2 linked regions of the Daphnia pulex genome follow. The protein of the gene in region 2 binds, or shares a complex with, the protein of the main gene of each other region. Links are inferred from orthologs where the notes say so. Each region holds a gene or a part of one and is shown on either strand. Other genes may lie near its edges.

What was found.
Region 1: WD repeat-containing protein 20-like (region 2) and ubiquitin carboxyl-terminal hydrolase 46-like share a complex: the UniProt entries of both Drosophila melanogaster proteins name them as parts of the usp12-46 deubiquitylase complex. The link is inferred for Daphnia pulex from reciprocal best matches to the Drosophila melanogaster genes CG6420 and Usp12-46.

Annotation. Positions count from the first base shown.
Region 1 is NC_060020.1:4,003,288-4,007,666, reverse strand, and holds ubiquitin carboxyl-terminal hydrolase 46-like, read right to left. Parts: upstream 2,887-4,379; 5' UTR 2,746-2,886; coding exon 2,743-2,745; intron 2,686-2,742; coding exon 2,605-2,685; intron 2,533-2,604; coding exon 2,316-2,532; intron 2,252-2,315; coding exon 2,171-2,251; intron 2,102-2,170; coding exon 1,893-2,101; intron 1,682-1,892; coding exon 1,535-1,681; intron 1,469-1,534; coding exon 1,322-1,468; intron 1,253-1,321; coding exon 1,115-1,252; intron 1,049-1,114; coding exon 941-1,048; 3' UTR 708-940; downstream 1-707. Other genes in the region: probable isocitrate dehydrogenase [NAD] subunit alpha, mitochondrial, read right to left, coding at 141-158; serine/arginine repetitive matrix protein 2-like, read left to right, coding at 3,484-3,618, 3,676-4,379. UniProt on the Drosophila melanogaster protein: Catalytic component of the Usp12-46 deubiquitylase complex.
Region 2 is NC_060023.1:10,107,470-10,111,922, forward strand, and holds the start of WD repeat-containing protein 20-like, read right to left. Parts: upstream 2,844-4,453; 5' UTR 2,531-2,843; coding exon 2,036-2,530; intron 1,965-2,035; coding exon 1,750-1,964; intron 1,667-1,749; coding exon 460-1,666; 3' UTR 1-459. Other genes in the region: U3 small nucleolar RNA-associated protein 25 homolog, read left to right, coding at 3,066-4,216, 4,278-4,453. UniProt on the Drosophila melanogaster protein: Regulatory component of the Usp12-46 deubiquitylase complex.

The sequences.
Region 1 (4,379 bases), on a different chromosome or scaffold from region 2:
CATTAATGTAACATTACGTAAGGGAAATTTTTCTTTGTTTTCGTAAAAGTTGATCTATCTTTCATTGAATAAAACCAATCCCTAACTACAAAAAAATGATAACAAAATTTCTGCTAATGGAAATTTTGTTTTATTCTTACCCGGCGGGTAGCGGCCATTATTTCCGGGACTAAAAGCGGGACTGATACAGTATGGGTCACCTGATTGAAATGCAGTGCAGCAGCCGACGTTTTTTTTAGAGTACTGCTCTTCTACTTTTCTATTAGGGATGCACTAGTTCGAATAAAACAAGTACGTAGATATAAACTCGTTTATGTATGTTTTATTGGACAAGTCACCAACTTAACTTCATTAGGTACTCCAATTTAAATTTAAAGGATGATAATAATAAAAAATATATATTTGCTACTTAATCGCCTGAGAGCGCGACAACATTTCTCAAACAATGAACAGGCTTAACATTAATTTGAATTTTGAACTTCCGTACTTCCCTTTACATTTTACAATCCTCCCCCTGTAGAAACCGTGCATTTTACAACCGTCAATCAAGAAGACAATTTATTCACTTAAATTCTCGCGGAACATTCTGGAAAGATTTAATTAGTAAGTTAAACAAAACTTACATTTGTCTAATTGTCTACTTGTTTTAGACATTGTTCTTTTAACTCAATTTTAAAATTATAGCAATCAAGTTTTGCTGGAAAAACAAGAGTTTATAATTTTATTACTGAACAAATGAAATATCACTATTAACAAACCTCTAGGATATTTTTCATTTACAAGGAGAACACTTTTCACTGAAAAGTTTCTATCCAACAACCTTAAATTGTTCATTCTTAATTTCTTATTACTATTCCTTCTCCTGATGTATTACGCGCGTCTTGGTACTCTTGGAGTTGGTTGATAACAAGAACTCTTCATATCCATACATTGTTCATTTTCAGGATGTGTCTCGAGATTGGTAAAAAAGGATGTAGCCAGTTTCTGAGGCTTTTTGTACATCTGACGTTAGACCATAGAAATCTTCCAATGCAGACGGATCAATTTTCTATGGAATGGAACCAAACAAATAGATAAAAAACGAATATTTTAGCAAAAATAAAATCAGAATTACGTCAACTATATCATCGTCAAATAACAGCCAAAAGTCGTGACTTTTGACAATTGATATATAATGACCACGGTTGGGCCCGCTTCCGCAATGGACGACTACTGCTACCAAGTCATACAATCTGTCAGGGCATTCTTCAGACTGTTATTTAATGAAAAGAAATCGAAATTAATTTAAATTTAAATATTTGGCTATAAATAAATTATGTACAGTGTTAAATAGCCGCAGCTCAAGTGGAAACACCACTCGATGTGAAACTTTTATGTGACGATTGTACTGTTCGACGTACTTGAACCGCTTGAGATGCAGTGCAAGGATCAAAGGAAGTTTCTTCACTCGCATGCATTTCTGAGCTTCCTGTAGAAGCGAGAAAAAAAACTAGGTATATTAAAGTGTTGGAAGTGCAAACTTAAATGAACTCACTTGATAAGAACTGCAAACATCACACTTGAATTTGTTGTCAGTACAAAGGGTTTCAGTGGACGAAAATGTTCTTAAACAATGGGTAATACTAGTATTTTGGTCAACGTCAACCTGCAGATCAAAAAAATCTTCTTCCTTGTTGCTGACCTGTGAAGAAAGTGTTTAAGGAGATTTAAAAAAAAAAGATCGTTTTCCCATGACTCATTTCTTGATTTCTAGAGCTTCTTTGAAAGAATTGCATGACTTCTAATAACTTGATAAAAAATTGTATCATTAAAAACAAAATGAAAGCTGAACCACGTAAGCAGATGTAGCCCACCCACAATGATAATTAAAAAAAAAAATGTTCAATACGTACAGTTTCGCAGTTTAAGCAGCGAGTTTCACTGGTGAGGATTCCTTGAAAAATTTCATGAACCCACGTTGATTCATGGTTTCCAGTGGACGTCATCGAACCGTTACTGCCATCAAATTTCAGAGACGCGGATCCGTTACAGGGATCTTTAGAATTCTGAACCTTTCCATTAGTTGTCGGTGTCGCTGAATTGTTTGTTTGGTGTCGTTCAGCTGTTGTTTTAAATTAAGCATTAAACCTTTTTCCAAACATGCAACTCTATCTACTCCTACTCTACCAACCTGTTATGATTTCGCTGATATGATTGATCAAGAAATTTAGAAATTCATGGGCATCTTGTTGCATATAGTTATCAAATTCTTCTAAATACGTTAAGTTAAATATTAGTTCCCAAAGCTCCCAAAAAACTATTGATGAATAAGTTGCCTTTTTCTTTCTTCAGCCTAGCAATAAACTTTTTGGGAGCTATTGTCCCAACCTTTTTCTTCTGGGTAGTAATGTTATGAAAGAGATCAGCTAGACATGTCAACAATGTTTCTTTGGATCTCTTGTTCTTCATTTTATATTCCAACACTTTTTCACGAAAAGGTTTGCAGAAATATAGAGCTTGAAGGACAGAATTTGAATAACAAGTATTCCCAAACTAGATTTTAAATTCAAACATAGTTTAAGCTATTTTCATCGACACATTTTATGTGTTATAAGTCAAACTTACATTTACAAGTCCGAAATAGTGTTCATTCGTCGGAAATTGTTCAGATCCGATTTCTTTTTCAAGCTGAGACGCGTTAGCTCCCTTAATTAAAAATATGTTTGCATCAGGGATTATTTAAAGCTATAATATAATTTTTACCATTTTTTGTTGTGTAAATTGAGAAGTTTTCTAGATGAAGTTTTCACTAATCTCGAGTATCGATGAAAATAAACACGATAGTCGCAATCGCTCAAAATACTACAGCAGTGCCAGATTTTACTTTTAAGTTTGGTGGAGGCCATTGTTATTTGTTAACTCGGTACTCGGTGTCTGTCGGAATACCTCCGTTTTTTTTTAATTATGCCATGCCAGATAAGTTCTAAAATTTAGCTATTGGTCTATAAAGTAAACTAATTAAATAGCCGTTTAGATCTAGCCTCCAGCAGTAAATACAAACATATCGCTAAACTAAGCCCAAAACTTAAAGTTTGTATTCATTTTTAGCGGGATTATTTTTTTCATTTCTTTCTTGTTATACAGCGCCACCGCTAGTTTACTAATTAAGAAATATGTATCAGTGCCATTTCTTAACATTGAATACATTTAGTTTATCGAATATAAATATATCGAAATAAAGCATTCCGGAAAAATAAAATTTATTCATATCAAAGATTTTCATTTTGAGCTAAAATAGTTAGGACTACCACTCGCCAGAGTATACCAGCTGACAGTCAGTCTATCAGTCTATCAATTGCAGTTGACTGGCCTTTGCAGTTCAGAAGTTGTTATTTTGTAGCCTATTCCCTCCAATTTCCCACAATTCGATTTTGTGCTTTGTGGCGGTAATGTCGATAAAAGGTTTTCACATTCAAGTAACATTCAAGTAATAGTTCAAATAAAATGGCGAAAGATGAGAAGATGAACAAATCGATTGAGACTAAGACACCACTACGTGCGATTGACAAGTTCTTTGATATTGCCACACCAGTTGATTCGCCTGATCTATTAGACGAAATTTTTGAACCTCCTAATAAGGTAATTTGTTGAATTCTTTGCTCCAACATGTATAATAAATGGTTTTTTTTATTTCAGAAACTTGTTCCACAAAATGAAGAAGTTGTCACACCTGTAGTAAGTTCTCAAAGTAGTCAGAGGGTTCAGAAAAGGAAACTTAATGATGAAGTACTATCTCAAGGAAATGTCTCAAAAAAGAAGAGTGTTGATGAGACACGGACTCACAGCTTTCAGGATGATTCCGTCTTTGATAACTCTGAGATTCTGTCAAACTTAGGAAGTCCGAGTTTAGATGTTCGACCAATACCAACAAAAAAAAACAAGAAACGGATGTCAATTTCTGCTTATTCCAAAGCATTCCAAAGCCAGCAGCTCGGTCAGCAGTCACAGGTGGTCAATACCTCTGATGACCTGGGTGAATCAAATATTCCTTCTGATTTAGGAAGTCCAGATAAATTACTCTCTCGAAGACCTTTGAAATCTAAGAAACATACATCTACATCAATGTTTCAAGAAACCCTTGATGGGAAAAAAGATCAACAAGAACAAGATTCTGAAGAAATCCCCTCATCTTTAGAAAGTCCTGGAAAGAAGCAAGAAGTTAGTCGCCTTCCTAACAAATCTAAAATGCGAATGTCGACTACCACCTTCAAAAAGGTGTTAGAAGATGGACAAGAACAAGATTCTGAAGAAATTCTCTCATCTTTAGAAAGTCCTGAAAAGAAGCAAGAAGTAAGTCGCCTTGATAACAAATCTAAAATGCGAATGTCGACTACCACCTT
Region 2 (4,453 bases):
AGGAGCACTAGGTCACGTGACAGCATCTTATACCCTGTAGGTAATCGAAGAAAAAAGGAGGAGAAAGATAAGAAAGGAGAATGCACGATAGGTGGTGAGATTAGGAATCTGCAAAATGCCGTTAGAATCATATCCGGGGCCCCTAAGTTGTTATATCGTCACCAACCACCACCAGGGGAGGGAAAAATTGAGGGCCGTTTGGGGTTTAACGACACAGTTAAAGAAAGAAAGAGAAACCTAAAAATGAACTGATGATGATAGACAAGAAGAAACAACAAAACTTGGTTGTTCACTGGAGGGCGAAAAAGAGTAGGTCAAGATGGCTCGTTTGGAATTGGGGTTAATGAAGAAGAATCTTGACAGGGCTACACGATAATTGTCGTCGGTCGCTAATTGCGGAAAAACAAAAAGGAACGGGAGATGAACGTAACGAATGGATAATTTTTTCTCATCATCATCTCAGACCATGGTGCCTTCATTGGTGGGTGTGCTGGTGGAAGTGTGGTGTGGAGACGGGCCAATTGGCCGAGCCCAGGTACAGACGATGCCATCTTGGCAGGCGGTGATGAGGCAGTCCTCACGGAAGATGAGCGCCGTCAGCCGCTCGTGGGAGACTTTCTTACAAACGAGCGGCTCCAGCATGGGGATCTCGTCCAGTCGAGGGCAGGCTTGCGTGCCGATCAACCGGAGCGGATCAGCACAGCCCGTCACTAGCGACGGGTTCGCTGTGGTGGTGGTACCCGCAGAGGAGGAAGTGGACGAGACTGAAGAAACGGATTTCAAACCCAACGAATTGGCCGCGTTACCCGACCGATCCGAAGTGGAATTCCGGCCACTGCCAAGGCTGAAATTCTTTCGGTGGGATTTCGAGTCGGTTGCTGCTGCCTCCTGTTGCTGGCCCGACTTTCTATCGGAAAATGTCATATTCGCCAGCCGCTGAGTGAGAGATCCTGCGGCGTTGACAGGCGTGGCAGTCGCACTACTGGGTGCTGGAGAAACGGTCAAGTTGTTGACCGGGGTGATGGTGACAACGTTGTTGCTGCTGCTGCTACTACTCCGATCGCCGGAAATGGGCGTCTGGCCAGTGAATTTCAGACTAGAAGGTGGCGATCCTGGTCCTGAGACCATTGAAGCTCGGCTCCGGGAACCGTAAGGCTGTTTCAGGACGTCGTCCGTCAACTCCCAAAGACACAGCTGAGTGTCCATGGCTATAGATCCTAGACGGTAACAGGTGGCAATGTCGCTAGAGGATTTCGTTTCCGCCTCGCCGTCGATTCCGCCCGTCCCGTTCGACGTGACCGAAGTATCGACTCCTTCTTTCGACAACGACTTGGAAGACGAGGATTGAGATGAATACAGGGTCGTGAAAGGGTCGAACGCCACCACCGTGATCCAGGATCGATGGCCCTGTCCTCGGGCCACGATTCTCTTTTGTTGGAAAGACCAAACCGTCACCAAATCATCCTCGCCGCCGGCCACTACCAGCTGCCCGTCGGGTGACCAGCAGACGCAGAGCAAGCCGCCGAAAAAGGATGTTGCCAGTCCGATCAATTCCATGGCATCATAATTGAGAACGCGCAGACACCCATCCTGCGACACAACCGCCAAGTATTTCGAGCAAGGTGAGAAGGCAAAGTCGTTGATGGCGCCGTTTCCAATCACCCACCTAACAACCAAATATGGGGTTAGATGGGAGGAGTCTTTAACCTGATTTTATTAATGATTAAAAATGAAATGATGAATAATAACCTGTAAATGGGATTCCGAGTGCTTTTGGCTTTACAAGTCCAGACCGAAAAACCGGCCCCCTGCTTAAAAAGTTGATAGGTCGGAGGTGCTGGTCCACCACACGTCACATCTTCACTGTACAGATACATCTGTCCCGAAACATGAGAAACTAGGAACAAATTGGGGGAACCTGGCAGCCACTTGATACATGTTACTTTCGTCTTTTCAATTATTCTCTGAAGGAAAAAATAAATAATGTTATTGAAATTCCATAAATTTATAAAGAAAACAGAAAATCTCAAGAAACCTCTTCATTGTAAAGTTTTCCTATTTCTTTCCTTATTGGATCTACTAATTGGATTTGTCCGCCAGTGAAACCAACTAGAAGCATAACACTTTCACTGCTGATTGTTAATTTATTGATATCATGGCAAGTGGGGCTGGTTCCTTTGTAAATCCTTTTATCAACAGGCTTGGACAAGTCTGCTGGTTTCTTGGTTCCCTTGTAGGTGTAGAAGTAGAGTTCCCTTCCATAGTTGAAACATATGCGGTCACAAAAACCTGATGGATCAGATGGTAGAGACACAAAAGTAACCCTAACTGGAGGGTTTGAACCTTGACCGAGCGCAGCTCCTTGCTGGCTTTGGATGGCAGTGTAACCAGACAGCCGATTTGCCCTGGAGTATTCGGCTAATGTTATCAACTTATATACTCCCTCTCTGGTTGTGAAATGAGTTCGCACATCGTCCCGGCTGCTGTTTCCACTTACACTACCACTGTTCAGATCCGTTTGCCCAGCCATCGGTAAACAACAAACGATCCAAAAACACAAACAATAATAACCAAAACTTTGATTATTCAAACATGTCGGCTCCACCGTTTAAACAACGGTCTTCCATCGTGACGGCACCGATAATTTTACATTCGAAGGCTTTATTAAACAGTGAATCAGTCTATATATAAGCAGGATTGCTACCTGTCAACTTTTCCGGTAAATAAACTAATTTTCACTGGTGATGTAGAATTCCCTGATAGCAGACGCCCGCCATTTTGGTTGGTGATTTTTGGTTGCCATGTTGGCAATTTATATTTTCAACTTTAAAGGAATCATTTAATTTAATTTATAAAATAAAAAATATGAATAAAATAAATAAATATATTTAAATAAATATATTTTTGATACATTTTTGGCAGCACACTATTAAATTGTAATTAATCAACTGTGTTGTTCTTGCAACTTTGGACGTCTGCAATCAAAGTTTTCATTTTGACACGTGCATTTGAGTTTGAGTTTTGATTTCAGATAAATTAAATTCGAACGTTATTTTGTTCTTAAAATGGGACGTGGACGACGAGGAGGGCCTAAACGTGGCAATTACAAAAACCACGGTTCCCGTGGTAACAAATCGACTCGTGGTGGAGGTAACTTTAAAAACAAAAGGAAATTTAATCAAGATAGAGATGGAAAAAAAGATGACACTTCTGAAAGTAAAAGACAAAAGCTTCAACAAGAAAAAGAGGCTGTGCCTATTATCGAAGAAGAATCATCTAGCAGTGAATCAGAAGAAGAAGTCAAACCTTACACACAGCTGCTGTCGATGTTTAAATCCAGTAGTAGAGCACAGCAAGTTTTGACATCTGATGAAGAACAGTCAGATGAAGAGGAAGCTGAAGATATCAATGACCAATCTAATGAAGATGACATTGGCAGTGAAGAAGAAGATTCAGCTCAAGACGATGAGGAAGTAGGAGAAGAGGAAAGTGGTAGTTCAGTTGGTGTTGCTGAAGAAATTGACGAGGAAAATAGTATACATGAAGATCTTGAAGTTGAATCAGAGGAAGAAGAACATTCTGGTGATGAAGAAGAAGAAACATTATCTACGGATCCCTTCCACCTTCATTTCGACAGGGAAATAAATGAAAACCTTTTAGAAATCCTGACATCACCCAAGCCTTATGAGACTCAAGAACTGAAGTGGAAAGTTCTTGGAAGAATGGTGGTTCACCTGCCAACCAAACCTGAAAAAAACACAAGTCAACCAAAGCCTACATTACTAGGTGAAACAATAGAAAGTTATGTCATTCCTGGTAGTCTACCTGTATTGAAAACTGGAATCCCCTTGAGTGAATACGGTGTTAAATTGCAATTATGTTCCAACCTTGATACGAGGCCACTCTCGGACAACAAACAAACGGCTGAAGAACTGCTCTCCCCATTACAGCATGAGCTTTTCACTCTCGCAAATGAATACCGCGACGTTTATTATCCTGAAATGAACCATTTAAACAATGACGAGATTAGAACAGTTTACTGCCTTCACTCGTTGAATCATGTAATGAAATCGAGAGACAAAGTTCTTCTTCACAACGCCAAATTGAAAAAGGCCAAAGAAAATGGCGTTGCGACCGATGAAATAGAATATAGAGATCAAGGATTAGTCCGTCCTCGAGTTCTAATTATCGCTCCTCTCAGAAACTCTGCAGTGAAGTAAGTTCAATCACAGTTTTGATACATTTTCTTTGCTAATTTTTAACTATTTTTGTTTCAGGATCGTGGAGAAATTAGCTACATTGTTGCTTCCTGCAAAAGGACAAATTATCAATAAAGATCGTTTCTATAAAGAGTTTGGTGAGGAAAAAGATGACGAGGGCAAAGCAGAGACGAAAAAGAGCTACAAACCAGAAGATTTTGAGGCGGTATTTACAGGAAACACGGACGATTCTT